Caenorhabditis elegans: one gene and its partner. The protein of the gene in region 1 interacts with the protein of each later gene in a pairwise test. Each region holds a gene or a part of one and is shown in the gene's direction. Other genes may lie near its edges.

What was found.
Region 2: the proteins of cup-5 (region 1) and F53G12.8 interact in a two-hybrid assay, tested with the Caenorhabditis elegans proteins (one large-scale study listed by BioGRID).

The regions. Positions count from the first base shown.
Region 1 is NC_003281.10:7,578,819-7,596,091, forward strand, and holds cup-5 (Polycystin cation channel PKD1/PKD2 domain-containing protein), read left to right. Parts: upstream 1-5,864; 5' UTR 5,865-5,870; coding exon 5,871-6,323; intron 6,324-6,372; coding exon 6,373-6,556; intron 6,557-6,600; coding exon 6,601-6,912; intron 6,913-7,278; coding exon 7,279-7,562; intron 7,563-7,641; coding exon of another isoform or gene 7,642-7,671; intron 7,672-7,843; coding exon 7,844-7,951; exon of another isoform or gene 7,952-7,971; coding exon of another isoform or gene 7,972-8,178; intron 8,179-8,231; coding exon of another isoform or gene 8,232-8,324; intron 8,325-8,368; coding exon of another isoform or gene 8,369-8,503; intron 8,504-8,550; coding exon of another isoform or gene 8,551-8,712; intron 8,713-8,758; coding exon of another isoform or gene 8,759-8,968; intron 8,969-9,012; coding exon of another isoform or gene 9,013-9,148; intron 9,149-9,305; coding exon of another isoform or gene 9,306-9,394; exon of another isoform or gene 9,395-9,496; intron 9,497-10,610; coding exon 10,611-10,838; intron 10,839-10,884; coding exon 10,885-10,986; intron 10,987-11,718; coding exon 11,719-11,857; coding exon of another isoform or gene 11,858-11,964; exon of another isoform or gene 11,965-12,172; coding exon 12,173-12,263; intron 12,264-12,404; coding exon 12,405-12,510; 3' UTR 12,511-12,763; and 1 more. Other genes in the region: mfsd-6 (Major facilitator superfamily associated domain-containing protein), read right to left, coding at 1-41, 427-591; gda-2 (CMP/dCMP-type deaminase domain-containing protein), read right to left, coding at 3,294-3,565, 3,972-4,161; R13A5.15 (Serpentine receptor class gamma), read right to left, coding at 7,972-8,178, 8,232-8,324, 8,369-8,503, 8,551-8,712, 8,759-8,968, 9,013-9,148, 9,306-9,394; R13A5.11 (Serine/threonine-protein phosphatase), read right to left, coding at 12,781-13,197, 13,241-13,333, 13,379-13,774, 13,974-14,250, 14,298-14,494; Y80D4G.2 (DUF3955 domain-containing protein), read right to left, coding at 15,034-15,185, 15,557-15,734.
Region 2 is NC_003279.8:105,221-118,232, forward strand, and holds F53G12.8 (uncharacterized protein), read left to right. Parts: upstream 1-8,586; coding exon 8,587-8,643; intron 8,644-8,864; coding exon 8,865-9,203; intron 9,204-9,323; coding exon 9,324-9,461; 3' UTR 9,462-9,488; downstream 9,489-13,012. Other genes in the region: Y48G1C.8 (DUF7747 domain-containing protein), read right to left, coding at 216-401, 796-1,114, 1,469-1,599, 2,136-2,328, 2,376-2,941; Ras-related protein rab-11.1, read right to left, coding at 4,045-4,226, 4,272-4,563, 4,615-4,736, 4,785-4,824; rpl-7 (Large ribosomal subunit protein uL30), read left to right, coding at 5,835-5,845, 5,941-6,040, 6,290-6,487, 6,535-6,751, 6,799-7,007; F53G12.9 (GST_C_6 domain-containing protein), read left to right, coding at 7,145-7,261, 7,307-7,432, 7,480-7,683, 8,019-8,162, 8,206-8,307, 8,376-8,441; col-45 (Nematode cuticle collagen N-terminal domain-containing protein), read left to right, coding at 10,519-10,695, 11,212-11,446, 11,499-11,754, 11,866-12,181; Spermatocyte protein spe-8, read left to right, coding at 12,889-12,988.

The DNA.
Region 1 (17,273 bases):
AGGAACTCCACGATGGGTCTTGAGCCGATGAGGAAGCCAGCCTGGAAAGTTACAGATCATTGAAGTTTTAAAATTTTTAGTTGAGGATTATTACTACAGTGTTGACAAAACATGTATGTGTTTTTGATTTTGTGGTAATATTTCAAAATGTTTGAAATAAGCATAAGTTAAAACCCAATCAGTTGTGAAGAAAACTTTTAACAGGCAAGATATTGAGAATTGCTTTTTCTACATTTTGGGTAGTGTTAATTTGTTATCAACTCCACTCTGAATATAGTTGGAGCGGCTGAAAAATCATCAAGAAACCAAACAAAATACTTTTGGCAGACTGTGTATAACAAAAACTTGAAAGCTAAAAAGGCGGTAGGCTGATCTAAAAGACTGGAGGCAGTACCCACCGCAAAAGCATTGAAACAAGTCTCTTACCTGGGCCGCTGTCATTCCCAACTGCTTGAAATAAACTGCTAGAAGTGGGAACAAACTTCCGAAACTGGCGAAAAATGATAAATAAAAAAGACGACATATGAATGCATCCCTCGGGAACACCTTCCCAAATATATTCACCGTCCTCTCACCAACATGGTTCTCCATACCTGAAAAATGGCAAAAAATTTCGAAATCATTGATGTCTTCTGACGTCACTCTTATTCAGAAGACAACCGTTGAACGAAAGGAAAGAAAAAATGGCGAGGGGAAATGGAGAAATGCTCGCGGAGCAAACACACACATACAAGTCATGTAATTATAGACGTGTGCGGAGTAGCCGAAAAAGAGCACAGCTTCTAAGAATAAAGATTTCGAAATTTTAAAGTATATATTATTGTTTAGATATAATCTTTATACGTAAAAATCATAATTGTTGTTATTGGTGTTTGTGGCTTCAGGGAAAAATTCCACCTGACTGAAACTGGTGAAGTAAATTTGAAAAAAAATTTTGAAATTTTTTTTGAAGTATTTGAACACGAATGAATAACAAATCCGTGTTCTCCGGAACTAAAAAAAAGCTAAACGGCGTCTTGGAGAATAATTCATGAATAGAAAAGTTCAGAGTTCTGCAAGTTTTTATTTTCCAATTAGAGTAAACAAAACCGATACTGGATGTTGAGAATTCCTAGGGGAAAATGACGTTTTCAAAGGAAGAAGATATGTGGAATATGGGGAAACTTGAGTAATTGGATTCAACTTTAATAGAGGAATAAGCTTTTTCGAAAAATTGTTGAAGCTAAATTGATGGTATAGAGAGAAATAAAAGAGAATATTACCTGGAAAATAAGTTCACGAGTAGGTTATAGAGTATCGTAAAACTGGGAAAAAATGGCAGAGGATTGTTGAGAATTTCGTCCGAGAAACTTGTTGGACCAGTTGACAGGAGTATTTTGAAACAAGTATTTAGAAGGTTTGCTGTTAATGTTTTCGGTGGGGACCTCATGCTATTTTGAAAACTTGAAACAATAGGGATCTATCAAAATTTTAATTTTTAATATTATACAAGTTAAAAATTTGGCAAATACTTTCACAGGAAAAATAATTGATTTCCAGTTCGTGGTTGAAAATTTAAAAATTTTCGCTAAAGCTCAAAGCATAAAAATTCAATTCTAAAACAGAAATGAATCCGTTGAAATGTGATAGTTGCATTTTCTGTCAATATTTTCCCAGTCCTTTTAACAAGCTGGTTTCTCAGATCTTTAGTTATTTACTATGAAGATGTCAAACGAAGAAACCTGGATTTGAAAGTAGAATTAAATCCGAATTACAGAGAAAAAAAATTCAAAAAAGTCGATAAAGGTACACACTTCTCCCCGTCAACCGCAAATCTATATAAAGCAAAAAAAGACGGAGTAGAGAAAAGAAAAGAGAAGTTGTTGGGAGTGTGTGCATGTGTATGTGCTCTCTATCTCTCTCTTCAAGCCCCCGACAACGTCTCCTCCCGTTAAAAAGAGTGGAGACGTAGAAAAGAGCTTTTCTGTGCTCAAACCCTTCCTCGTCCCAAGCTCCCTACTGACATCTTCTCAGTTTTCCGATGGAGGAATAGAGAAACGAAGCAAAGAAGAAACAGGAGAAAAAATGAAAGAAAAAAAAAGAAAAAGAAGACGTCCTTTTTTGTGGATTTTTTCGTTCTTTTTTCCTTTTTTTCCGGAGAGGATAAAATTGGGGAGTAAGAGAAGAGGGCTAGATTGTCATAGATTACTCATTCAAGAAGTTTCAATATTTCTAGGAATTTGAGGGACTACTTAGTGAGCAAAATTTTCTATAGCCAGTTATTCCATTTTGTCCTTTTATGCGGCTTCTGTAGTAGGTAGGCGTTTTGCTAGGCGTACCTATCTACCGCCTACCCAGCCTCGGTATTTTGGCGTCTACTCCGAGCTTTGGAATTTATGAAATTCGATTTACGGATTGCCTTTTTTCAGTTTCAATTAAATAGTTTAACGCTTAACTAAAAACGGAACCAAATTTTTGTGTAAGAACTAGACAAGCAGGCAGTAAAATTGGAACCAAATAAAATGGTAACCCATAGGTCAAAGCAATCATGATTAATCTGACATTTTGGTATAATAATCCAGACATCGTCATCATCACCAATTCATTCAATGCTCGTTGATGTTTAAATGCAAGAAGACCCAACACTTCACTTGTCACAATTCAAACAAAAACACGAGGAAATAGAGATGATGACTTGGGTGACGGGTCCGAGACCAAAACATAAATTGTGATCAGGGTATTTGAGAATATGTTCCCGATGTGAACCCTGAAAACAAAATAAAAAAGGTATATGATCCATCGTATCCACTAGAAAAACGCGGCAAAGAAAAATAACTTTTGCTTAAATTGAAGAAAAGTTTAAAAAAGAGTTGAGCAATGCGGTGCAACAATAATGGAAGAAAAGTGCTCTACAAAATTTTCTGAAAACATTATTTTCTTACGATTTAAAATTATCTATTCGAACTCATGCTTTCCAAATTTGAAATACCGTATTTACTCTATTAGTCTTATATGCAAGATGTTATGGGACATTGCAAACTTTTTCCAAGATTCTGTTTTTATTTGAAAGGCCTAGTAAAAGTAACTAGATATTTACATTTTTGTATAAATTTTAGTTTTTGATAAGCAAATTACAAGTCAATTAAAACCTTCAAATACAAACGTCATCTACATTCTCCCAACCTTCGTCTTTTTTCCTGTAATCAATTATTCATATTTGCTGCTCCCATATGCTCACACTCCTATACGTTTATTTATAATGCATTACTTTTTTGCAACCAACAAATGACAAAAACCAGAGAATTTGTTTATATTTAATAAAGTTCTTTGTTATCCTTCTTTGACCAAAGTTGGAATGGCTCTAAGTAGTTGTCCACCTTGAATTGTTCCAACTTTCGTTTATCATCCGATTTTGGGTTTTGAAGGAACTCATGGAACTCATGATCTCCAAATCCGATATTCGCGGCGTCTTGTGACGTGGCACCGTAGTAAATTGCATCGACACGAGACCAGAGAGCAGCTCCCATACACATTGGACATGGATAGCAGGAAGTGTAGAGTTGACAACCGGATAGATCAAAGTTGTCTGGATAAATAATAGATATATGGCCAATTTGAATATAATTATATAACAGTAGATAGGATAAATAGGGAAAATAAATTAAGACGCTTCTGATCTTTTAGCAGATCTCAAATTCTCACAAAACCCCTAATAATTAGTATTTCAGTAAAGGCTTGCATGGAATCCAGGAAGTAACTTCTTACCTAAATTAAATTAAAAAGTACAGTGAACCAAATTATAGGCAATCAAAAAAGTCAAAAACCAAACACTGAAGATCAAAGCAGTAAGTGATGTCCAAACAGTGATATCTTGTAAGGAATTTACTAAATAAAAAACAATTGTAAAAAATTATAAATTATTTTCGAAATTTTGGATTCAAGAAACTAATTTTGTTTCCTTTACTAAAGTTAAAAACGAAAGGAATACTTACCGACATTCTTACAAGTATTTCTGATGGCTGTAACTTCGGCGTGTGCTGTTGGATCCTTGGTGACTAAAACCATGTTATGCCCACTACCGATTACCTTCCCATCCTTGACAATTACAGCTCCAAATGGTCCACCGTCTCCCTTCTCCATTCCTTTCTTGGCTTCTTCGATTGCGAGTTTCATGAATTCCATTTTTCTGAATTTTCAAGAAATGTTTCGATTAACCGAGTTTTTTCACGGATGAAAAATTTATTAGAAACAAAAATAAATAAAAAAATATCAAAACTACAAATGAATGAATATGTTGTAAAAACTATAGTTGCCAAAAACTTTCACTTTAACAAAAATTTGACATCGAGAGAGTACGCCAGAGATGAAGAAAAAGAAGGCGTGGGAAAAGAACAAAAAAGGAAAAGAGCGATCGGAAGCCAGTCAACCAAACAAAAAATGATGATGAACTGAATATTGTGGAGGTGTTTTCGATAGTTGCAGACATGGAAACGTATTAGATTTTAAAAATTTGTGTGTGGCAAGAGGAATTTTGATATCGAAGTTCAATAAATAGAAATTCAGAATTTAATATTTTATTGAAATCACAGGAAATTTAAAAATTGCAGAGACTTTTTTCGATATTTGGGGTACGACCAAAAAAAAAGAACAAAAATTGAAGTAGTTGTCAAACGTTGCCTTCTGTAAACTTTCAAAAACGGTACCTACTGTCTCACTGCGCCTTCAAAAAACGACAGTAATCCATTGCCCGTTTGTTAGTTGTGCTCTTCCTTTTCTCACTATTTGTATCTAAAAAGAAACAGATAAAATTATACGACAGAATATGAATATGACTAAAAATTCAAAGAAAAATTTCAATGGTTTACTGTGGTTGTTAAAGGTGCATACCTTTTTTGCGGCGGCTACGATTTGAAAATGTTCGCGCTGTGAACCAGCCCGAAATTTTTGTAATAAATTGAAATCTTTCGCAACTGGGTAATAACTCAAACTTTTTTAACTACAACTTTATAACCTGCAATTTCACTTTTAAAATGTGCGTCATTCTATGCAAATTTCTGAATTTATAATTCTCTCCGAGTTTATCCATATTAACGTCATTGCAAAATACTATGTACATGTGCCCTCAAAAAATTTTCCAATTTCTCTTTACTGAAAGTACTACGCTTTTTATTTTCTTTGTGTGCACCTTTCAAAAGTCATGCTCAATTTTGTATAGATTCCAACCGCTATTTATCTACGGAAGGAAAAAAAAACCCAACACAGAAAAAAACAAATTGACGTGTCTCTAGCTTCCCTGCGCTTCTCTCTCTCAAATGCTCTTTTATCTATCCCATGTTCGCCATTTACATCGGCTCTAAATAACACCTCTAAGCTTTCTTGAAAGATGAGTAGAATATTCAGAAGCCAAGCTTCGAGATCGATGCGGTTAGAGCAAATTCCCCTCGAATCGGTGAGATAATAAATGTATTGTTTTAAGGGTTGAAAACTGCAAAATTGCATGTTTGCATGGTCTTAACCAATTTTTGATTGACTGATAACGATAATTTCTGATAATTTTGGACTTTAGGTGAGTATTTCTTTTTAGTTCTTCGTTTTTTAAAGAGAAAATAAATACCATAAGATTGACCGGCGTCAGATATTGTGCATGGTACGCAAAGACACCGCGCGGTGTACCTCACTAGTAGGATTTACGCGGGCGTTGGTCTCGGAAAATTATTTTTTAATTGTTCAAACAATTATTTGTTTTTGTTTTTTATAAATAGCATGTTAATCATAAAAATATATATTTTTTAAAAATTAGAATTCATATTTTGTACGCTTATATTAACCGCCACTCGCATCGAAATCAATTTTTCATTAATACAACGTTATTTAATATTTCATGATTTCAGATGTCTCGCCGGAGCACAACTGATCGTTCAGACTTCAACGATAATGCTTCGAATGCTTCTTCAAATGCTTCTCGAAGGCCAACAATAAATTTTCAAGAAATAATGGAAGATCTTCCGCACCACGAAAGAGAAACCGGCGAACGTCTTCGCCGTCATCTCCAATTCTTTTTTATGAATCCAATGGAGAAATGGAAAGTCAGACATCAACTGCCCTATAAGTTGGTTCTACAAGTGCTCAAAATAGTTTTCGTTACCATGCAATTAATTTTATTCGCGGAAATGCGCATGTCTCATGTTGATTTTCTCGAAGACACCACAACAGTTATGAGACATCGATTTTTAAAAGAATGGAATGACGACAGAGATGCATTACAATATCCACCAGCTGAAGGAAGATATTCGGTTTATGATGATCAAGGATTATCCGAGCATTTGAGCTTTTTGATTAATTCTGTAAGTCGCTTTGGAGAACTATCTTGTAAAATGATCAATATTGTTTCAGTATTATTCAATTCGCAATGATTCATTTGCTTCATTTTCCTATGACGTTGTAAGTCATCCATCTGGAAATCTTGGCGCTCAAATTAGTTTTGAATCTATTCCACCTATTGAAGTTCTTATCGATCGAATTTCCAACGTAACAGTGAACAATAACACTTATAATTTCGACATTCGTGAAGTGAAAGGTATATAAACATACTATTATGAAATAAAAATAGTTTATTTCTAGACACGAAACGTCTGAATCTAACAGAAACGGAAGTCTTCCAAATCGGACAATCCGATGATGCTGTTCGAGATATTCTCGCCACTCGTGGAATCACATTTCTCCCAGAAGACGCGCTCAAGATATCGACGGTCCAATTCAAATTTCGACTACGAACAATTCATTATTCACCAACAGCCGGAGATCAGAAACCAGAATGCTATAAGATATCAGTTTCTATCAAATTTGATAATTCAAGGCATACAGGACAGGTTCATGTCACTCTATCAACTGTGGTTTCTTATGTGAATGTTTGTAATGGAAGGATCATCAAAGGTGAACACTTCACTTTTTTCAAATTTTCAAAGTAAAGCTAGTAAAAATTATAGATTATGTAATCGAAAATTACCCAATTAACATAGAATTCCAATAATTAATGGTGAAGAATCATCAAATGGGATGCTATTAAATATAACTTCAAATCTTTTATAAAAGTCTTTCTGAAACTTCGTGTTAAAATCTACATAACTTTATTTGCCTAAAAAAGTTCTTCTTGAGAGTAACATTTAGATTTTAGGTATTCAAAAATTTCCCAATTAACTTGAAATATTTAACTTCTAGGTGTACTTCTGTGTTTAAATAAAAATGAATTTTGTAATATTAAAATATCAAAATATAAAAATTCAATCAATCTCGAGTTAGGTCAAGTTTCAGGTGTTGGATGGTCATTTGACACACTTTTAATCGGCGGAACCGATATTTTCGTTCTCATTCTTTGCATTCTATCACTGATTCTCTGCTGCCGAGCCCTCATCAAAGCCCATCTACTTCAAATCAAAACAAGCGACTATTTTGAGAATGTACTCAAAAATAAGATCACCGTTACCGATCAACTCGATTTTCTGAATTTGTGGTATGTGATGATTGTGGTCAACGATGCGCTTATTATCATTGGAACTGTTGCAAAAATATCCATCGAGTTTCAGGTAATTTTTATAAAAATTTAAGTTTAATTCAAATGAAAAATTCCCTCCAATACTCAAACATAAAATATATTAAATTTAGTTCAACAAAAATACTTTTACTACAAGAAATGTGAGTAAAAATTTATATTTCCAATAACTTCCTTTCTGTATCTGTCCGTCCCATTGTTTCCATCAACTTTTCATCCCGGGATTTATCGAAACCAAATTGCCCCTCTGTATTGATTAGAAAATTATTTTCCATTAATTCTTGCATAAAACTAAGATTATTGCTTTCTTTTCAGGATTTCGACAATTCCCTCTTCACGCTAACTTCGATTTTCCTCGGAATGGGAGCTTTGCTGGTATATGTCGGAGTTCTTCGATATTTTGGATTTTTCAGTCAATATAATGTGAGTTGTTTCAAATTGCTTTATTTCATTACAACAACATTTGATCGTGTTGGAATACCAACTCCGGATATGGAATTACTTGTTATTGTAGTCTTATGCGAGTGTACTGTAGTGTAATACATTATCCAAGGTGGGCAACATATGGAAATATCCAGTGCGAATGCACGTAGATCTTGACATGTTTCACGAATGAATGACGAAGTACCAGTGTAGATCATTATCAGAGCCTATAAAAAATTTTTAAAAAAGTAAATACTCCAATAATTCATTATTTCCTTACCTGTAATAAAGCCTGCAGTACCAGTGAAAAACATACCACTAACGCTATAGAAAACATTGCAATTTCTACTCGTCGTGTTCTTTTTCGATGAAACTTAAAATTGATTATGCTTCTAATATAATATTATTCAAACTAACTTCGTTCTGAGTACCACTAGCCGTTTTTACTGTTTGAATTGTCGTTTTGTACTTAACAATTGTTGTGAAATTCGCTGCAACACATATTACGGCGAGAAGAATCGACACAAAACACAGCGCCGTACTGTTTCTAGGCTGTAATTTTATTGATTTTCATATTTTGTGTTTGGTGGAAACCATACCAAAAATCCTATCAACAGTTTCACTCTGTATACCATTTGATAATTGGATCGATTTTCGTATAGTGGTAAGAAATAAGCGTCATAGGTGACTAAGTGCCATGTAGTAATTAATGGAAGAATGTAGACAAGTGCGATTGCACTGCGGACGTTCTTTTGCCAAAACTTTAATTTTTTAGGAGATTCATATTTTTCGGATGGGAAGGCTCACCGAATTACAGTAATACGGGAAAAGTACAGAAGTCATTCGATTGATGCATATTAATGTTATTGAATAAAAGTTCACATAGATCAAGTAATACGAGAGAAAGTAGATTATAGTCATAGGTATTCCTTCTGGGATGTATGAAGGAAGATTTTCAAAAAGACCAGAAATTGGAAGACGTGTAAATAGAAAGTCGATTATAAAAAGTGCAACATTCTGAAAAAGTTTACACTTTTTATCCGAAAGGTCTATGTACTTACAATATAGAAATCATTTGTGAAAATCACATTGAAATAGCTGCTAGTGACGCTTTCCTTCGTCAAAAACGTGCGGCATTTATGATATGCTATAAATGATGGAACAGTGTAGAGTAGATGAATTAGAAGTAGAGGTTGTCTGGAAATCTCGATTACATTTTAGGCGCGAAATGTTGAAATTTTTGCTGGTATATAATAAAAAAAAAGCGGATGAATGTCCAGAATTCGATTAAGCTCCTTATTTTCGTGAAATTTTTTGCTTAATTTACGTTTAAAATATGTTCAAATAAACTTACCTATAATCAAACGCATATGCCACATTTCTAATTTCACCATCAGATACTGAAACTACTGTTTCGTTTCCATGCGAGAAAATGGAACTCATTCGAAAAAATTGTTCGAAATGAAGAAGACAAAGAAAAAGGAAAAGAGCTCAATGGTCTTCAAATTTAATTGAAAAGACCACCGACCAATAGAATGTTGCCCTGCAAACAACAAGTTTTAAACTTGTGAAAATTGGGGAAATTAAGGGGAGTAGATGGAAGGATCCATTTACATTAACAAGCTAAAGCATACTACAAACATTACAAAATTAAGGATTGGCGTATGTATATATATATATTGAAAGCTTCGAACTGGAAAACTTCGACTTGATTAGACGACGTCTAACAACGCGTGATTAAGATTTTGTTGTTCATAGAAACTGAGTTAATTAATCACGCATTGTCTAGAATGATGTCAAAGTGTATTTGATGTGAAAAGTGCAAATGTAAATGAAAATTCTCCAGAGATTAAATATTTCTTTAATTTGATATTGTTTCACTGGTGCCCCCAAAAGTATCACGTTTGAGAGAAGGAAAAGTTTAAAAGAGAAGTCAAAAAGCCGTATCTAAAACCTTGGCACAACTAAAATAAAGAGGGTCTTATGTCAAAACATAAATCAATTTTCATACCTCTTTTGTTTCTTCCTGGTATCTTGAAAATTGGAAACGAGAAAATGATGTCAACAATACCGAATTTTTAAATATTCTTAACTCTTTCTTTTAAGAGAAAATCTTTTTCTGAAAGTTTACAAAAATGAATCCGAATTTTTATTCAAATTTTTGCTGTTGGTGAGAAAAACATGATTAAAATAATTTCAAAAAATGAGAATAATTGCCAAAAAAAAAATTTGATAGTTGCTCTTCGATTATCCGCAAGATATAAATTTGAAAATTCCAAAAAAATTAAAAATTATTTTTAAATGTTGTAGTGAGTAGTTCTAGCTAATTTCCGAAAAAAGGAAAATATAAAATAGAAAAAAAACCATTTTAATTTTATAAAAATTCGGGAAAATTCTTGAAATTTACGTTCTTTAATTTTTCAGATAAAATTTAAAAAGCAAGATCCTATGTTAAATAATTGGCACAATCTAGAACAAGCCAGTTCTAGATTGAGCCAATTATTTAACAAAATCACTCTATAAGTAAAAATAACCGCAATCAAAGAGAAAAGCTAAATATAATGGAATGATTAAAATACTAAAAAAACTTTTAAAAAAGCTTCTGCTGGTTTCAAACGATAAAAGTGAAGGAAAAATGTTTATTTTTGCCATTTTCCAGATCCTCATGCTCACGCTCAAACGATCGGCACCCAATATCATGCGCTTCATGACGTGTGCCATTGTACTTTACGCTGGTTTCTTGATTGCCGGATGGGTTATTATTGGCCCGTACAGTATGAAGTTCCGTACACTGGCAGAATCATCGGAAGCTCTATTTTCGCTTCTCAACGGTGACGATATGTTCGCCACGTTTTACACTATTAATGATTCCAATACAGTTATCAAGGTAAAGATTTTTCTTTTTTTTTTCTAGATTATCTTAAATATTTCAGGTATTTGGGACAGTGTACATCTACCTATTCGTGTCACTCTTTATCTATGTAGTATTATCACTGTTCATTGCAATTATCATGGATGCATATGAAGTCGTCAAGGTAATAATGAACAGAGCAAATGAACATGAAAATGAGAACAAAAAGCTCGAAAAAACAACTGAAGAAAGAGCAATAGACCACGCCAATGGGATGCTGTTTGAGTGTTGATGAAAATTGGAAAAATGAAAACAACAAGAAAGCAATAGCTCTTCATTTTCCTTGCCCATCCATCTATTTTTAATTATTGCGGCGAAAAATGAAAGATGATCAAGTGCTTACTCGCAGCTAAAAATGAAATTCTATGTCAGAAGACAAGGAGACTAGTCAAATGTCAGATTTCGGTGTAACCAATGATTTAGTTTTTGTCTTGCCGAGGTCTGAAAGAGAAAGCATAGACACCACCAGTCTCAAATTATTTTTTTTTTTTGAGAATTCATCATTCTGTAACTAGTGAAACTCGAAATTGGCTCAAAGAAATGAGAACCCACCCTTTTTGACATACGTATTATAGGTTTGCAGAAAATTTGACTTTTGAAATTTAGGTGCAAGTGCGCATCAATCACTTTTCAACTTCACATGCATTTATTTAAAAAAAAAACATAATTTCGACTTGAAAAACTGAAAAAAATAAAAAAAATAACGAAATTTTTTTCAAATTTCTACTGAATTTACGGTCTGGTCAGGGCGGGGAATTTTTTACGCGCCTCCATAATATTAACCATGTTAATGAATTTTTAAATTTAAGAAATAACAAAACGGTAAAAGTTAATAATTATATCTCATTCATTCCAGGATCGCTACTCAGACGGTCTTCGAGCCATCGAAAAACGTGGATGTCTTCGCGATTTCGTGGAATCGAATCCACCGCCGTCGGAACTCGGCTCACCGACGACTCGATCCGCCTACGCACCGTCTAATCTGCTCAATCTGGGTCGGTGCGTGCCTGTTGAAGTGACACGAATCTTTCTCTGTTCAGGCTTTCTACACACTTTTTCATTTTTCTTACATTTATGCACGCCAAACAAACTTGGTTGCTAGTTTTGGTGATGGTGTTGTGACAGCAGCAACTAACAGCGTCGTGTAGTGGTTTGACAGTACTAAAACAATCACAAAAGCATTAAAACAATTAAAATATAGAATAACAGTCTCTAGATTACAGTTAGCATAGTAGCACGTACAAAAAACTAACTAGATATTGCAGTTGTTCATCAGTTCGTTCGAAAACATTCAGTTTCTCTAATTTCAGCGGCTGGCAACGACTCGAGTAGAGCTCTTCGTGCTCTTCATGCCATTGACAATGCTCGCGATTGGCTGAGCAGCTTAAGAGATGGAACTCGGTAATTTTAATTTTAAAAGTGTATTAGGAGGGCTTGTTTCGTTTTGCAAGTTTTCGACTAAAATCTACTAAAAATTTTCGATACTCTATTAACTGAACGAGATAATTTGAAAATTGATAAATAATCCCTCTGGTTTTTCAGTTTTCAATCATTCTCCAACCCGCTGAACGACTCAAATGAAGATGTATTAGCCGACCAAAATGCCAATGGAAACGATCCTCACAATTCTAGGCCATCGAATGTATAGAGTTTCTCAATTTAATTTTCTTTTGTTATCAAAAACAACTTTGTCTGTATTTTTGGTCATCTTCATTCATCTTCCATCCCATCCGTTTCTTTCTCCTTCCTCTTTCATATTTATTCCCCTCTGAACAACCTACTTATCATGTGTATATGTGGTGCTATGTACTTTTGTGATATTCTTCTTCCGTTTTGTTCGTGATTTATAATTTGTGATTTCTTGAGAACTTAATAAATTGTAATTTATTCAAATAATTCAATAACTTTATTCCAAGTATTAATCAATACAATCAATAGAAATATCCCAGACACGATTCTTCTCTTCAATGATCTTCTCGATATTCTCCGATGCTGGAACAAATGCGATCATCTGAATGCCCAACGTCTCGTCAACTTTCAACACACATCCAGCGTTCTTGTAGAAGTTGCAGTACATTGGAGCAGAGAAGATGGTGATAAGCTTCCGTCCACTCAATACCCAATAACCATCGAAACACATTTGGTGAGCACGGATGATAAGCTCGACACCAAGACGTTTACAAACGTCATCAATCACATTTGTTCCGAAGGTGAAACCAGATCCACGGGAACTTGCCTTCCATTCAAAAACAGATGGATCCGGATCAGCCCAGAGCATGTCATTCACAATTCCACGGAATGGGTTGCGAATTGGTTTCGGGTGATTGCGAAGTTCCTGAAATGGAATTTTTAGGAAAAAACGACTTCTGTTAACTAACATCAAGACATGTCAGAGCAGGAGACAATCCACCATGCATGCATAGAATCTTTGTAGCGATCAAAGCGGAGATTGGAAGATTGTTGAAACAACGCTGAAATATTTTTAAATACAGAACGTCTAGAATGAGAACACATACCTGGAACAAAGCCCAAATCTCCTCTCCACACTTTGGAATCGAAGTCACGCATTCTTCATAGAATCCATATTTCTTATTGACTCTTGCAATTTCATGATTTCCACGGAGCAGCACAATATTCTCGGGATAGCAGATCTTATAGGTGAACAAGAGCATTATACACTCTAGACTCATCATTCCTCGATCAACATAATCACCAGTGAAAACATAAACTGTCTCAGGAGGACGTCCCAATAGAATGAACATGTTGATAAGATCGTTGAATTGTCCATGAAGATCTCCAACTACGACACATGGTGGATCGATGTCAACAAGAGCTTTTTCCGATGAGAAGATGGTTTGAGCCTCGTAGATCACATTCTCAAATTCCTCCTTTGTGTATTGAATTTTGTGAACCTGAAAAAATAATTCGTGAAAAATGGTCAGTCAAAAATATTTAAATTCCCTCCAAAAGTTTTGGCCAATTAACGATTTTCTCCGGCCACCCTCGTTGATTGGTTTAAAAATGGGCGGCGCTAAACACGGATCGGTCAGATGTACTCATTTTGGAGAAAATTCAAATTTCAAAATGAAATCCCACTTTCCCCGTACTTACCCCGGCTTGAATTACTTGATAATGTCGATCGAGGAAATCAACAAAATCAATTCTCTCCTGTGTTCGATTTTGTGCAGTCATCTCCGGTCCATGTGCCATTTGTTTTCTTCTCTCAGAGTTTTTCGCCATTTTCTTCGTCAATCGATTCTGAATCTCAACTGCTGCTTTGATTTCAGTATTCTTTTTTGACAGAGCATTTGGCTTATTAATCTCAGTAAGAGAAATAGTTCGACCTGATGGTGGTTGAGTTTTTGCCATTGAACGAACGCTTGATTTTCTATAAAATGTTCATTAATTTAAGAATTATTAAAAAATTAAACTAACTCTTTAATAATACCACCTGGACGCTCATCCTTTTCATTTAATACATGCGACTTATTTTTGCGTTGTCGATTCATTGGAGACATTGCCACGACCCGATCCTTCTTCCCTGATCTTGCTTTAGATCGAGCTTCGTGAGCAGTTTCCACTCCACTTGAAGTTGCTCGACTTGAGACGGGAGTTCGCGATTTTTCCGCCATTTTGTTGCGACAATATTGTGAAATAAATCACTTTCGAGAGTGATATGAACTGTGCAATTTGGAACGTGTAATTAAAAAGAAAATTTCCCCGTAAATTTTACAAGTGGGCAACACGTTTCAAACTAAAAAAGGATACTTTTCAAATAGTAATTCATGAAAAAGTTTAGACGTGAAGTGGGCAGGCAGGCAACCGTGGGCGAGTAGGTGGGTATGTAGGCACATAGGTAGACACGCGGTAGGCGACTAGACGGGTAAGCATAAAGAAATCCTGTAGGGAGGCACGAGATAGACGAGCAGACATGCTGTCAACAGGAAGGTATGCAGAAGGAAAGCGACCCCATTACGTCCCGGATATTTGAATTAACAGATCATATGATTTATTCTGACCATATTCGGATAATTAACGGATAATTAACGGATAATTAACGGATAATTAACGGATAATTAACGGATAATTAACGGATAATTAACGGATAATTAACGGATAATTAACGGATAATTAACGGATAATTAACGGATAATTAACGCAGAGACCCTTATCAAACCGTTTCCATTAATGCATTTTCATTCAATTTCAACTCCTCATCCTTGATTTCTTGAATCTTGTCGAATGATTCTATTGTGTGCTCAACGACACATTTGGAGACGTGGAAGATCAAGACAATCGAGAAGATCAGGTAGATTATTCCACCTAAAAATTATAACTACGCAAGAAATGGTTAGTTTATTATACCGTATTTTGTCTACTAGGGCAATAGAACCAAGGTACCAACTGCCTAATATGGCAAATACGGTTCTTAAATTTTAAAATTTCGAAGTTTAGTTTGAGAATATAAAATCCAATTCAACACCTAGTTATCAATCAGATACAAGAACTGGTTCGGCTATGTATACGACCAAAAAATTTGAAAAAAGGTGTTACAAAAGTTGAAAACAAGAAATTTTGTTTCAAAGTAACAGGAGTTTGCCAAATTGAAAAACAGTTGAGACATGTTCGTGAAAAATGTTCATTAATTAAAAACAACATTTATAAGTTTAGATTTTAGATATTACTGCCCTTACCGTAAATATAATAATGAGCATATCGCAAATCTACAGTAGCCATGAAGAATACAACATCTACTGCAAATTTGATTAAACATGCAGTTATGAAGACGGCAATACCAAACAACGTCATCAGGTAAGCAACTTTATGACGAATAGCTTTTTTCGAATAATTTAATTTCATTTGGAACAACATTTTTGGCTCTAAACTGACGGAAAATTCACAGCGCATGTGGAAAATGTTGAAGTTTAAAAACGTTTTTTTCTGGAGGGGAATGAGAAGAGAAACATGAAAAAAGAACGGATATCTATGGAAATGCCATGACGACAACAAAGTTAGACCATTAGATGAAATTCCAAAATTAGACCATTAGATGAATTTCCAAAGTTAGACCATTAGATGAAATTCCAAAATTAGACCATTAGATGAATTCCCAAAGTTAGACCATTAGATGAAATTCCAAAGTTAGACCATTAGATGAATTCCCAAAGTTAGAACATTAGATGAATTTCCAAAGTTAGACCATTAGATGAAATTCCAAAGTTAGACCATTAGATGAAATTCCAAAGTTAGACCATTAGATGAATTCCCAAAGTTAGACCATTAGATGAATTCCCAAAGTTAGAACATTAGATGAATTCCCAAAGTTAGAACATTAGATGAATTTCCAAAGTTAGACCATTAGATGAATTTCCAAAGTTAGACCATTAGATGAAATTCCAAAGTTAGACCATTAGATGAAATTCCAAAGTTAGACCATTAGATGAATTCCCAAAGTTAGACCATTAGATGAATTCCACCAAAATTAGACCATTAGATGAATTTCCAAAATTAGACCATTAGATGAATTCCCAAAGTTAGACCATTAGATGAATTCCCAAAGTTAGACCATTAGATGAATTCCAAAGTTAGACCATTAGATGAATTCCCAAAGTTAGACCATTAGATGAATTCCCAAAGTTAGACCATTAGATGAATTCCCAAAGTTAGACCATTAGATGAATTCCCAAAGTTAGACCATTAGATGAATTTCCAAAGTTAGACCATTAGATGAATTCCCAAAGTTAGACCATTAGATGAATTTCCAAAGTTAGACCATTAGATGAATTTCCAAAGTTAGACCATTAGATGAATTCCCAAAGTTAGACCATTAGATGAATTCCCAAAGTTAGACCATTAGATGAATTCCCAAAGTTAGACCATTAGATGAATTCCCAAAGTTAGACCATTAGATGAATTCCCAAAGTTAGACCATTAGATGAATTCCCAAAGTTAGACCATTAGATGAATTCCCAAAGTTAGACCATTAGATGAATTCCCAAAGTTAGACCATTAGATGAATTCCCAAAGTTAGACCATTAGATGAATTTCCAAAGTTAGACCATTAGATGAATTTCCAAAGTTAGACCATTAGATGAATTCCCAAAGTTAGACCATTAGATGAATTTCCAAAGTTAGACCATTAGATGAATTCCCAAAGTTAGACCATTAGATGAATTTCCAAAGTTAGACCATTAGATGAATTCCCAAAGTTAGACCATTAGATGAATTCCCAAAGTTAGACCATTAGATGAATTCCCAAAGTTAGACCATTAGATGAATTTCCAAAGTTAGACCATTAGATGAATTCCCAAAGTTAGACCATTAGATGAATTTCCAAAGTTAGACCATTAGCCAAAGTTAGACCATTAAATGAATTCCCAAAGTTAGACCATTAGATGAATTCCCAAAGTT
Region 2 (13,012 bases), on another chromosome or scaffold:
TTAAATCAGGGAATTTTTCTGAATATTTCACTTAGATATTCGGAATCAGGGAAAAATTTGGAGTTCTTATAAAAAAATTTACTAAGCAAAGTTTTAGCAATTTAGGTTCTAATAGGCTTTACAAATATCAAAAAGTCCCGATTTTTCAAGGATCTATATATATTTTTAGAACCACAGATTTTTTGCTGTTTTTCAGCATTCTCGGAAGACCATACCGGTGTGGATCCGGGATCATCCAGATCTAACGAGACGTGCGGATCAGTTGGATCGACCATCGCATGTCTTAAATAGTCGTTTCCGTGCGGAAGATTTACGATTGGTGGAATTTCACCGGGACACGTGTAGTCGTAGAGAATGAGCACGTTTCCATAGATTTGGCCATCGCGGGAGAGGTAGAAAATCTGGAAAAAATTTTTTGAATAGATTTTTTCGCCTTTTCTGAAGGATTTTTTTTGAAATTTGAAGGAAGACGGGTTTTTGCTTGCATAGACTCAAAATAAACCCTTTAGAAAATTTTTACGTTGGCTCAAAATATCGAGAATAAAAACCAATTTTTTTCTAAAATTTCGAAAAAATGGGCATAACGGCGGAAAATGTATTTTTATTTGATTATTGTACCTTTTTCAGTTCATTTTGGAGCATTTTTGGCCCATAGGCTTAAAATTAACCTTAAACATTTAAAAAACGTGAAATAAGATATCAAAAAGCCATTATGGCCACTATGACCTAAAAAAAATATTTAAAAAAAAACAACTTTTTTTTGAATATTCAAATTTTCTGAAACTGATAATAAACCTTTTTTCTCAATCTTAACAGTCTCGGCAGCCACGCGCTGTACTCGGTGAGATGAAGTTCGGCGATACGTGGATCTCCTTTGACCGATTGGAGCCGTCCGTTGAGACGAGCAACCGGATGACGTCGGACATTCGGTTTGATGACTGGATCGTTGAAGTGTTGCTCGCCGCCAGTAGAGCTCCATGGCTTCAGATCGTCATTCGAGACGTCTTTTATCGACATGATTTTGGAGCCGTCCACGTAGAATGCGAAACAGGCTTTGTGTGGAACAAGTGGTGGGAGACGGGGTGGTTTGTCGAGAAGCCAACCTCCTTCGCGACTAAAAATGGGGACCGTTGATTTTTGTTTTTTTTTTCTGACCGATTTTTCGGACAATAGCTTGAAATTTTGACAATTTTCTTTATTTTTAGAAGATATTTTTTTCTTATATTTTTTTTTCTCTAAAAACTATAGTAAAAAATAGTTCAATTTTTTGTGGTTCTGGCGAAAAATGTATTTTTTCGAAAAAAATTTTTTTTTTTCAAAACAAGATATTTAGATTTATCACTGAAAATTGCTAATTTCCAGTGCGAAAAATGACTTTTTCTGGCTATTTCTGCCTGATTTTTGATATAAATTCCAATTTTCACAATAAAATTGCTGAAATTTTCTCCTTTTTTCACTGTCTCCGTACATCATTGCAATTTCGGTCTCGTTGGTGAGCAGCTCAATTATTCGTTCCTTTCTGAGAAGGTAGGCCAGGCAGCCTGATATCACTGTGGCGTAGCAATCACCGTTTTCCGTCATTTCAACTTCATCTTCGAACTGCAAAAATTATAGAATTGAAAAAAAAAAACGATAAAATCCGACTTTCTCGATGATTTTTATGATTTTTAACTGAAAAATTGATTTTTCGGCATTTTCTGAAGGATTTTGATTAAAATTTGAAGGTTTTTTTTTCTCCCGTAGGCTCAAAAAACGCCCTTTTTATGGCGGCTCAAAGGCAAATTTTAAGTAATAATCGAATAAAAAATCATAAATTTACGACCCCTACGGCACGGGAAATTGGAGACTTCAGCTAAAACTAACCGTTGATTTTGAATATTTTGAGCCAAATTTGGCCAAATAGGCATTAAATGCACTCCAGATGACTAAAAACACGTGAAAAAAGCTATTAAAATTAGGTAAATAAGACAAAAACAGAAAAAAAAGAACTTGAAGCGAAACTGGAGCCCATTTTTGGAGACAATTCTCATTACAAAATTGGTTTTTTGGGCACATTTTTTAGTCTTTCTAGTTATTTCGAACATTTTCCGAAGAATTCCCATAAAACTTTGAAGCTTTTCCATGTAAGCCCCTACCAATTTCACGTGGTACTGCCTTTCAGCAAGAGCTTTACTGATAACTCGTTCTCCTTGAACTCGGAACATTTTCGACGGTGTCGCCGCCGCCGGATTTATAATTTTCATCGCCTTCTTCTCCTTATCCCCATCGTCGATAGACCCATCGGTATCCATTGGCTTGCGTGTTCGGACACGTCGCTGTTTGCTGGGCCTGGAAAATTTCGATTTTAAAGATTTTTTAAATAAAAAATCCCCCACAAATTCATTTCCAAATCCGGTGGTTGCCCATCCATAAACCCGTCGTCCTCCTCCTCATCATCACCGAACGGGTCCATTTGTATGCGATCCTCGTCTCGATATCGGGAAAGGTTCAGAATTGGCGGCTCATCCTCTACGATGACCTCCGTCTCTGCGTGGAGCATCGAGTCGTCGCCGGCGAAGATGGGCTCTCCGAGCTCTCCGGCGGTGAGCTCCTCCAAATGTGGCGCTGGCTTTCTCTTTTTCGCGTTTCGAACCGTACTTTCCTCCGTCCTGGAGCGTTTTGGAGCTGCGATCGAGCTTGTTGATGCAGAGGCGAGCGCTTCTTCCTTTGGGATGCCCAACTCGTAGTCTTCATTGTTGTAGAGCACGGATTTCCGAGCATTTCGACGTGGACGAGATTTTGTGGCTGGATCCTGGGGCTCTGCGGCAGGCTCTGGATTTTGCTGGGGCTCTTCGGCCGGCTCTGGATTTTGCTGGGGCTCTGTTGGATTTTGCACAAGCTCTTGATCAACTTCTTCCTGATTTTCTGCCAATTCTCCCGAATTTTCAGGATTCTCGGACATTTTTCTGCAATTTAATAATTGAAAATAAGAATAATTAACGGGGTGGAAAATTAAAAATTAAACAAGCATTAAAATAAATTTGAAAAAGTCCTGATTTGTAGTCCGCAACGCACGCACGCAAGCATACACCAGAACAACTAAGAGAGACGGGAGGAGAGATGGAGAATTTGAAAGAGACGGCGAGGCGACGAGAGAGCCGGAGGATTGAGGAAGGACAAACACACAGATGTGGGGTCTTGCAGCGCTTTCTCTGCGTCTCTTTTTTCGACATTTTTCAATGGGAAATTTTTTTTTGGAGTTTTTCTTTTTTTTTATCGGAAAACTTCAAAAAATTCAAATGGAAACGCTGTACGGACAATGCATAGAATAACACGCAAAAATGCACATTTTTAGGCCTTAGGTTACTGTAGTGGTCTCGGCGCGAAAATGCGGATTTTCATTTTGAATTCAAAATAAAAAAACTGGACGTGATTTGGTACAAGCGTTTAGTGAAAATGTTTCACAAAATAGGAGATCAATTAGATATATTTATTTATTCATGGAAAATGACTATTTGGAAAAAAATTGCGAAATAAATAAAACTCGATTAAAAACAATGTGCATATGTCTTCGTTGCTTTCTTGGCGAGGGTTTCTCGGTATCGAGTTCTACAAGAGACACACATTACGAATAACCAAAATAGTTTAGGTAATATACACATTGGGTGGGGGTGGGCCAGAATAATATTGAATAAGGGTGAAGAAAAAATATTCAAAATACGTCGCTGAAGTTGGCATACAATCTTGAGTCGGATAAATGGTAAGAAAGCAGCACCACTCAACTCAGATCACAATCTTCTGAAGAAAAAGGGACGAATGTATAGGTTCGGAGGGGGGGGAGGGGGAAGGGGTGGGGATGGAGGCAATTACAAATAAATCTGAAAGAAAGTTACAAATACTACACACCAAAACGGTGAAGACTTGCAAACGCAGTGCTTGCAAGAATTCGATAAAACTCGCGGATGTTAAGAGCGAATCATTTGGATTTCGGGGGCAGTAAATTAAATGGACAAGGCATTTCGAAAAATACACACGTTAGACTGAAAAAAAAAAACACGATGTGATTTATGGGATGCAACACTGCTTCTTTGGTGGGTCGGACGCTGGCGAAGGAATGATTGTACCACTGCCACCGCCATATCCTTGTCTGTCAGTTCCTACATGCTTGTTGGATACTGATTTGTAGATTTCCGTCAGGATATTAGTGAAAGCTGCTTCAACGTTGGTGCTGTCGAGGGCAGATGTTTCTGAAAAAAAAAAATATATAAACGCAATAGATTAGTTTAACTTACCAATAAACGACAATTGATTTCTTTCGGCGTAGATCTTGGCCTCGTCTGTTGGAACTGCACGCAAATGGCGCAAGTCGCTCTTGTTTCCGACCAACATAATCACAATGTTCTGATCGGCGTGATCACGAAGCTCCTTCAACCATCGCTCAACATTCTCGTACGTCACATGCTTAGCGATGTCGTAGACTAGGAGAGCTCCGACAGCCCCACGATAGTAAGCGGATGTGATGGCACGGTAACGTTCCTGTCCAGCAGTATCCCAAATTTGAGCCTTCACTGTCTTGCCTTCTACCTACAAAAATAATAATTTGAATCATAAGTGTATTCTAATGAAGTTCCTCACCGAGATGCTTCTCGTGGCAAACTCGACTCCGATTGTTGATTTTGATTCCAAGTTGAACTCATTTCTTGTGAAACGAGACAGGAGATTCGACTTTCCGACGCCTGAGTCTCCAATCAGAACAACTGAAACAATTTTTCGTTTGGGAATTGAAAAATGAAAAACAAAATTACCCTTGAACAAGTAGTCGTATTCATCGTCACGAGAGCCCATCTTTACTGCTGAGCTGTAAAATGATAAAGCTTGTTTGAAAGTTGTGTATATATTGGGACGATTGTAAAAAAGAAAAAGGGCATTGGTCACATGATTCATCAGCCGGGCGCAATGTTTTGTTGTAAAATCGATATTAAAAGAACGAGACACTGTTTTATCGGCGGAGAATATTTTTATGTTCTGTTCCCGACACAAACGCGGAGTCAGGAACCGGTTGTCTATCTCGACGGGGATTGAAAAAATATAAGTGAACTTGATTTAAGAATGATTCAAAGTATATGGAGTTGGGAGTTTTATATTGAATTTTATCAATATATGAGGGTGGTTAGTCAGAAGAAAAATGTGAAAATGTATATAGAAGTGTGTTATGAAAGAGTATTTGAGGCTTATCATACCCGAAAAAGGGAAGGTGAGCGGCCGAACTTTGTTTGTCGACACGATTTCGAAATAGTTGAACAGGATATTTTTAACAAGGGAAAGCTTTCTCTGGGTGTTCTTTTTTGATAATTTCAGCTAAAAATTGAAAAAAATAATTAGTTTTATGGCTGTGAACATCCAGAATAAGCTTTTCCGAACGCGAAATGCGTGTGAAACCCATAAAATCGAACGTAAAACAGGTCAGGCGCACCGGCGCAGCCACGTCGGTCTGAGGGTACGCGACGCTAGCCGCAGCGCAAGCCTCCTCGGGTCTCGGCACGACAACTACCGTACCCCTTTCGCAGCGGCGCAACGGAATCTCAATTTTACATTTTTTTCTTTTTGGCCTAACGAATTTTTCCGTTTTTTCAGAGCATTTTTCATTGATTTTCTTAAATTTTCATCAGAATAAATTTTAGAACTAATTTCCCGTAATTCTGATACGCGTTTTTTATAGTTTTCGTGAAGAAAATGCTGAACATTCGAAAAATACTGAAATAATTTAGTTTTGAAAACTTGCTCCTCTGTTTCAATATCTTATAATTTTCTTTTCTGATTAATATTTTGATTTTCCAGGTAATCAATCGCCTATAATGGCTCCAACGTAAGTTTTCTTTATAAATTTATATTAGATTGAAATTTACTTTTAGGCCTGACTTTCAAATACTTCAATTTTGATATTAATTCTTGGTTTTTCAGAAAGAAAGTGCCACAGGTTCCAGAAACTGTGCTCAAGCGCAGAAAGCAGAGAGCCGATGCCCGCACCAAGGCTGCTCAACACAAGGTGACCGTCGCCGCTGTAAGTTTATTTAACTGTCAGAAAACAGAAAATGCTCTTCAAAAGCACTGGTTTTAGGATCCACTATTATCCAAGCCAGCCGTCAAAACTGAGCTATAAGAATTATCTTGTTTTTGGGTGAGGTGTATTCAATTCAGAATGCGTCTCAATAACACGATGACAATTCGAAATTTTAAAGTTTAAATTTTCTTTTAGGTGTTTGAAAATTAATTTGAACTAATCCTGCATTAAAAATAAAATTTTTTACAGAAGAACAAGGAGAAGAAGACCCAATACTTCAAGCGTGCTGAGAAATACGTCCAGGAGTACAGAAACGCCCAAAAGGAAGGACTCAGACTCAAGCGCGAGGCTGAGGCCAAGGGAGACTTCTACGTTCCAGCTGAGCACAAGGTCGCCTTCGTCGTCAGAATTCGCGGTATCAACCAGCTTCATCCAAAGCCAAGAAAGGTGAAATTGTGTTAATGAGTTTTTTAATAACCATTCTTTGTTTTCAGGCTCTCCAGATCCTCCGTCTTCGTCAGATCAACAACGGAGTGTTCGTCAAGCTGAACAAGGCTACTCTTCCACTTCTCCGTATCATCGAGCCATACGTAGCTTGGGGTTATCCAAACAACAAGACCATCCACGATCTCCTCTACAAGCGCGGATACGCCAAGGTTGACGGAAACCGTGTCCCAATCACCGACAACACCATCGTCGAGCAGAGCCTCGGTAATTTGAAAACTTATGCTTTTTAATTCTTATTTAATTGTTTTCAGGAAAGTTCAACATCATCTGTCTTGAGGATTTGGCCCACGAGATCGCCACCGTCGGACCACACTTCAAGGAGGCCACCAACTTCTTGTGGCCCTTCAAGCTCAACAACCCAACTGGAGGATGGACCAAGAAGACCAACCACTTCGTTGAAGGAGGAGACTTCGGAAACAGAGAAGATCAAATCAACAACCTTCTCCGAAAAATGGTCTAACTTGTTTGTTGTTCATACCTTCCTTCCGGATAAATCGTTATTGTTTGACGTTGTTTAATTATGTGCATAAATAATCATGAAACGTGATCGTCTTGGCTCGACTCATCTCGCATTTCATGAAGCGTCTCATCATTCAGATGAATCGTAAAACCGCTTTGCTGACTACTCTCCCGAGAACAGTCACTGTTCCCTACTATGCTCCATCCTGTTTATTTCTAGAAACTTTTCTTCGGAGCAAGCTAATTCCCTATGAAGTGAGAGCATTTAGGTTAATAAACATAGTCCAGATTTAAATCCAGACAACGCAATGTTCTCTCTACAATGTACTCCCTCGTGAGCACCTATACCCATTGATTGATGTCGATGGGTATTTCTTCAAAAATTTGATGGAAGGACTTGATTATCTGCTCGCCAAATATGGAAAAGTTGGCTTAAAACTAGAATTTTAGAAAAAGCTTAAATATTCTTCCAGTCTCTGGACTCGGGCCTGACTCCAAAAGAGCGAGCACAGGCTCTCGCATTGAGCGCTTTGCTCGACGAGCTTACTTGGATGCTCGCCTACTCGCGAGGCCAAGATTTCACGTGGCTCCGCGATGATCGTAAGATTATCGAAGACTTCGGGCTTGTTCAGCTCTATTTTTGGAGGAATTGGATTGTACCGCAGATGCAGAAACGGGTAGATTATTGATATTTTATGGAAAAATCGATAAAATATTGATTTTTTACTGAAAAAATTGATCAAAAATCGATTTTTTTTTCCTCGGAAAATCTGTAAATTAGTAGTTTTTTGTTGAAACAATCGATAAAATTCTGGTTTTTCAGAAGCAAAATCGATATATTAGGCCAAAATCACCAAAAATTATCAATTTTCCTATAAAATTTACCATTTTTGGCTAGATTATCGATTTTTAAGGCAAGAAAGTCGATATTTCACAATTTTTTATTGATTTTTTTGGCTTTCCAGCGCGCAAACTGTGCCAAGATCTAAATTTTCCGAAATTTTCATTTCAGACACGCCGCCGAGTGCGAGGCTACGGAATATCCGGAAAATCGGCGAGAAAGGAGGTCGCCTGCCGAACTGAAGCAATGTTGGAGGCATTGGCCTCACTTTTGGCCTCGAATAAATACTTTTTCGATGTCAATGAACCGTCTTGGGTAGGTGGCAGCCAAAAAACTCGGCCAAAACTCGGCCTTTCAGCTCGACTGCAAGGCGTTCGCCGTGCTGGCTCAATTCAAATATACACCACTGCAGAACGAGGCCCGCGTAAAACAATTCATGAAGGACCGAACTCCAAATTTGGTGGGTGGCCTTGAGTTTTCTAGGCCACGAGATTTGAAAAATTCTATAATTAGGGCATGTGGTTTCAGATGACATTTGTGACGCGCATGAAAGAGGAATTCTGGTCGGATTGGTGCACCACGTCGGAGGATTGAATTTCGTGGAAAATGCTAATTTGTTTAATGTAATATGATTTTGCTTCGTAGATTTTAACCTATGCTCGAATAAAATTTATATTCTAATTTTAAAAAAATTTCAAAACAAAAAATTTCTTACGTGACAATTAAAGGGTATTACAATATGGGCATAAAAAATGTATTCCCTAATTTTCGAACTTGTTCAGTCTTGGTTGCCCAGGTAATTTTTTTGCAGTTCTTGTTTGGGACTCGGAGCGATTTTGCGCAGATGCATCATATTTGACGCGCAGAGTTTTAATTGAGGTTTGAGCTTGAATTGAGTTTGAATTGAATTTTAATTAAATAAAGCGAATTCTAGAATAAAATGATGTGTTTATTGCGAAATAGATCGTGAACCTACAAAACAACAGACTTTACGCGCAAATTTCCGAAATTTTCCAGAAAAACCAGTCAGAATTTCAAATGATACTTGTTCCTCTTCTATTTCTTCTCCCAATTTTGTTGTGCGGTGGGAAAAAGAAAAAAGCGAACAAAAATGTGAAAGAGGCGTCGAAAGTGAACTCACTGGTTCCACCGTCGACCTCTACGGACCCGCTGAAGACTAAAGAGAAGGAGATGAAAAAAGAAGAAGCTCCGGGAGCACCAGACGCCCCGACTAAGCCGAAAAGTCCTCCGAAACCAGTGGTCCAGGACACGAAACTTGCTGAAGTGCTGCCTGAAAGTGAGAAGGAAGACGAAATGAAGAATGGTATTCAGTTGCCGAATCCGCCGAAAAATTTGGTGGGTCTCACGGCGATTTGAGTGTTTTATCGATTTTCTATGAAATAATTGATTTTTTCTAAAATTATTGAGATCTAGATTTGCGAGTTTTCTGAATTTTCTAATATATCGATTTTTCAGAAATGCGAAAGTGAAATTGCTCCAAAGGAAAAGCCGGCGGCTGACGAAAAGAAGGACGAGAAAAAAGATGAAAGCAAGAAGGATAAGAAGGAAGAGAAAAAGGAGGAGAAAAAAAAGGAAAATGACGAAATTATGTGAAAAATTCGATAAATTGGTTCTTGAAGATTATTGATTTTTCATTGTCGATTTTTCAGAATTCCTCGAAATTTATTTGCGCGTCATATATGGTGCATTGAGTCCATAGAGACTTCAAAGTTCACGCGCAAATGCAGACATTTTTGCACGCGCTGCGGTGAAATTCCTCTTGGCGAATTCAAATATTTTTTCCCGCCTTTTTTGAAAATTTTCGAGGCGTTGGTCGAGCTGAATACACGTGAAGTTTAGACTGAATGTCAAATCACAAATACATCACATTTGACGCGCAAAAAATTCGTTTTGAAAATTTGCGCGTCAAATAGGGTGCATTGAGTACGCGGAGCCAATACATCACACTTGCTTTTCGTGGAAAATGGAGCGAAATTTGATTTTTTGATTTAAATATTACGGGAACAGAAAATTCTGAGAATGCGTATTGTGCAACATAATTGACGCGCAAAATATCTCGTAGCGAAAACTACAGTAATTCTTTAAATGACTACAGTAGCGCTTGTGTCGATTTACGGGCTTGATTTTTTTTCCATTTTCTTCAGTTTTTCTGACATTATTGTGTTTTATTTTAATATTTTTACCGATTAATAAATGATTTCCGTAAATCGACACAAACGCTACAGTAGTCATTTAAAGAATTACTGTAGTTTTCGCTGCGAGATATTTTGCGCGTCAAATATGTTGTGCAATACGCATTCTCAGAATTTTGTGGCCACGTAATATTTGCGTTAAATAAAAATCAAAAAATTAAAAAAAAAAAAACATTTCAGAAATTTTCAAAAATTTTTTGAAAAATTGACGCACAAAGTCTCCTGTTTCCCTTTTCCCCAAAGTTTTAAACTAATAAAACTTTTTTAATTGTCGAATCCGACCAGTTATTTAATACGAGACAAAACGGAAACAAAGATTCCAATTTCCGATTACGGTCAGCTCAACACTTTCGCTCAAGGAATTCTCTACGCTTAGATTTTGATCTTAATGGAAAACTGGTAGAACTTGGTATAAAACTATCCAAAAAACTGGCAGAAAGAGTAGTCTTTCCGAAGAAATGAAGTCCCTAATCGAGGAAGATGACTTGGAAGTCGGCAGATTCCGCCGCAACGCGTTTTCCGCCGTCGCCCTCTCCACCTCCTGTATTCTGGCGATTGTGGTGTTAACACCAATTGCCTATCAGGCAATTCAGAGAATTCACTCAAATTTGCTTAACGATGCCCATTTTTGTCAGGTAATTTTTTTAAAAAATTTAGAAATTTTGATTTGGAAATATTCAAATAAAAAAAAAGTTTTTCGAAATTTATTTTCAATCGTTTGAGATTTTGACATACATTCCAAAAATTCCTACTCTTCGCAATTTTTTAGTCAACTCAAACTCAAAACCTTAAAAAAAAACCGCAAACCTGTCATGGCGCATCGATGTTATCCCTACGCTAAATGTTCTGTTTTCGAAGGTTACTTTTTTCCAATTTTTATCACCAAGGAAAATGTATACACAAAAATATATAGAATTTGACGTGCAAATTGGCAAAAAACTAAACTTGCGCGTAAAATCACTGCATTGCCTCTGCGGACTCAACACACCAGATTTGAAATTTCAGGAACTTATCGATTTTTGTAAAATTTTGCAGCATGGCGCATCGATTAAATATTAAAAAAAAATTGAAAATTATCGATTTTTTTGAACACGAACAATTTGTGGAAAATATGAAATAAAAAAAAACATGGTGCATCGAAAAACTTACAGGCTCGAAACCGTGACCTCTGGACAGAAACAATGAAGATGGCTCGGAGCCGCGGCCGGGACGAGGAGCTCGTGGCCCGAACCAAGCGAGCGGTTAAAGGCACATGGCTCTTCGGACAGTATATTCCAGACCGATCAAGCAGAAATCGACGACAGCAATACGCCGAGGCCGCTGGCGGAGGCGGTGGAGCACCACATGCCGAGTGTAGACGGGGTCCACCGGGACCACCGGGTGATGGTAGGTTTTTAGATTTGCGAGGCAATTGTGGTGTATTGGTTTAATTTTACAGACGGGGTCGACGGAACGGACGGAAAAGACGGTGCACCTGGAACCGATGGAAAAGACGGTCAGGTACCACAAGGACCAGCCGACGGAGGTTATCAAGAGGGACCATCTGATGCAGTTGAAGCATGCACACGTGAATGCCCACCAGGACCGCCTGGACCAACTGGAGCGCCCGGAGACAAAGGATCTCGAGGCTACCCTGGAGAATCTGGAGAGCCAGGCACCCCGGGAAGCGCCGGACCGAAAGGAAATGCTGGACCGTAAGTGGAACTAAAGAATCGATAGTTTTCGGTAAAAAATCAATCATTTTAGGAAAAAAATCGATAATTTTCATTTTCATTTTTCTCCATTAAATTATGTTAACTTTCTAGAGCTGGACCACCAGGACCACCCGGATATCCAGGACGTCCTGGAGAAACCGGAGATCACGGAAAGACGATCGCCGGAGAGGCGCCACCTGGACCACCAGGACGACAAGGAGAAATGGGTCCACAAGGACCACCGGGACCACCAGGGCCACGTGGAAAGGACGGAGCCGGTGGAGAGAAGGGTGCTCCGGGAGATCAAGGTAATCCGGGACCATATGGAAAACCTGGGCAACCGGGAGCTCCAGGACCCGATGGCTCTGCTGGTGAGAAGGGAGGATGCGATCATTGCCCACCGCCAAGAACTCCACCTGGTTATTAAAGATTCTTCGATTGATATTTTATTTTATTTTCATGACGTTATTCATTTTGTCATTCGGTTTTCTTTTGTTGCAATATGATAATAAATCAGATTCTCTTGCCAGTAGTTCCAAGTGCCCCAACATATTTTTGAGTCCTTTATGTAGATCCCTCTCCTCGAAAGCTGGATGATTTAATAAATCTTTCAGAAAAATCGAAAATTTTAGAAAAAAAAACATCAAAATTTTTGACAAACTGCATAATCAGTCAATATTCTAAAAAAAAATACGATCGCACAAAAATAAACAACGACGCAACGACACTCCGCGGTTACTAAGCTCCGCCCACGATTTCATTTGCACTGCGTTGAGTCGGCCGTATTGTTATTCAAACATGAATGAATATACTGGTGAAGTTTAAAAAATTGGGTGTTTAGTTTTGAAGAAAATAATTTTTTTGGAATTTTGAATAAAGCACAATTGGCAGCTGAAACTGGACTTTCAGACAAATTTTGAACGGTGGTTGTTGATGCTTTGAGTTTATATTGTTATTCAAACATGTATGAACTTGTAAAGTGCTTGTAAAACTTGTAAGTTGCTTGTTCGCTCATTCTGAAATAAAATTTAAATTAAATAAAAGTTCACGTGATACAAAAAAGCCAACTTATTGATTGAAATCGATAAAATCGATAAGAAATTCATTCATTTAATAGTTTTTAACAAACAACAAATGCGATCAAAAAGTTCGGAAGGTGATTTACAACCAGAGGACACCCAATCCAGAGAAGATAAAGAGACGACTGCTACGTATAGTGAGGATACAAAGCCAGGTAAATACAGTAGTCCTACCTTAA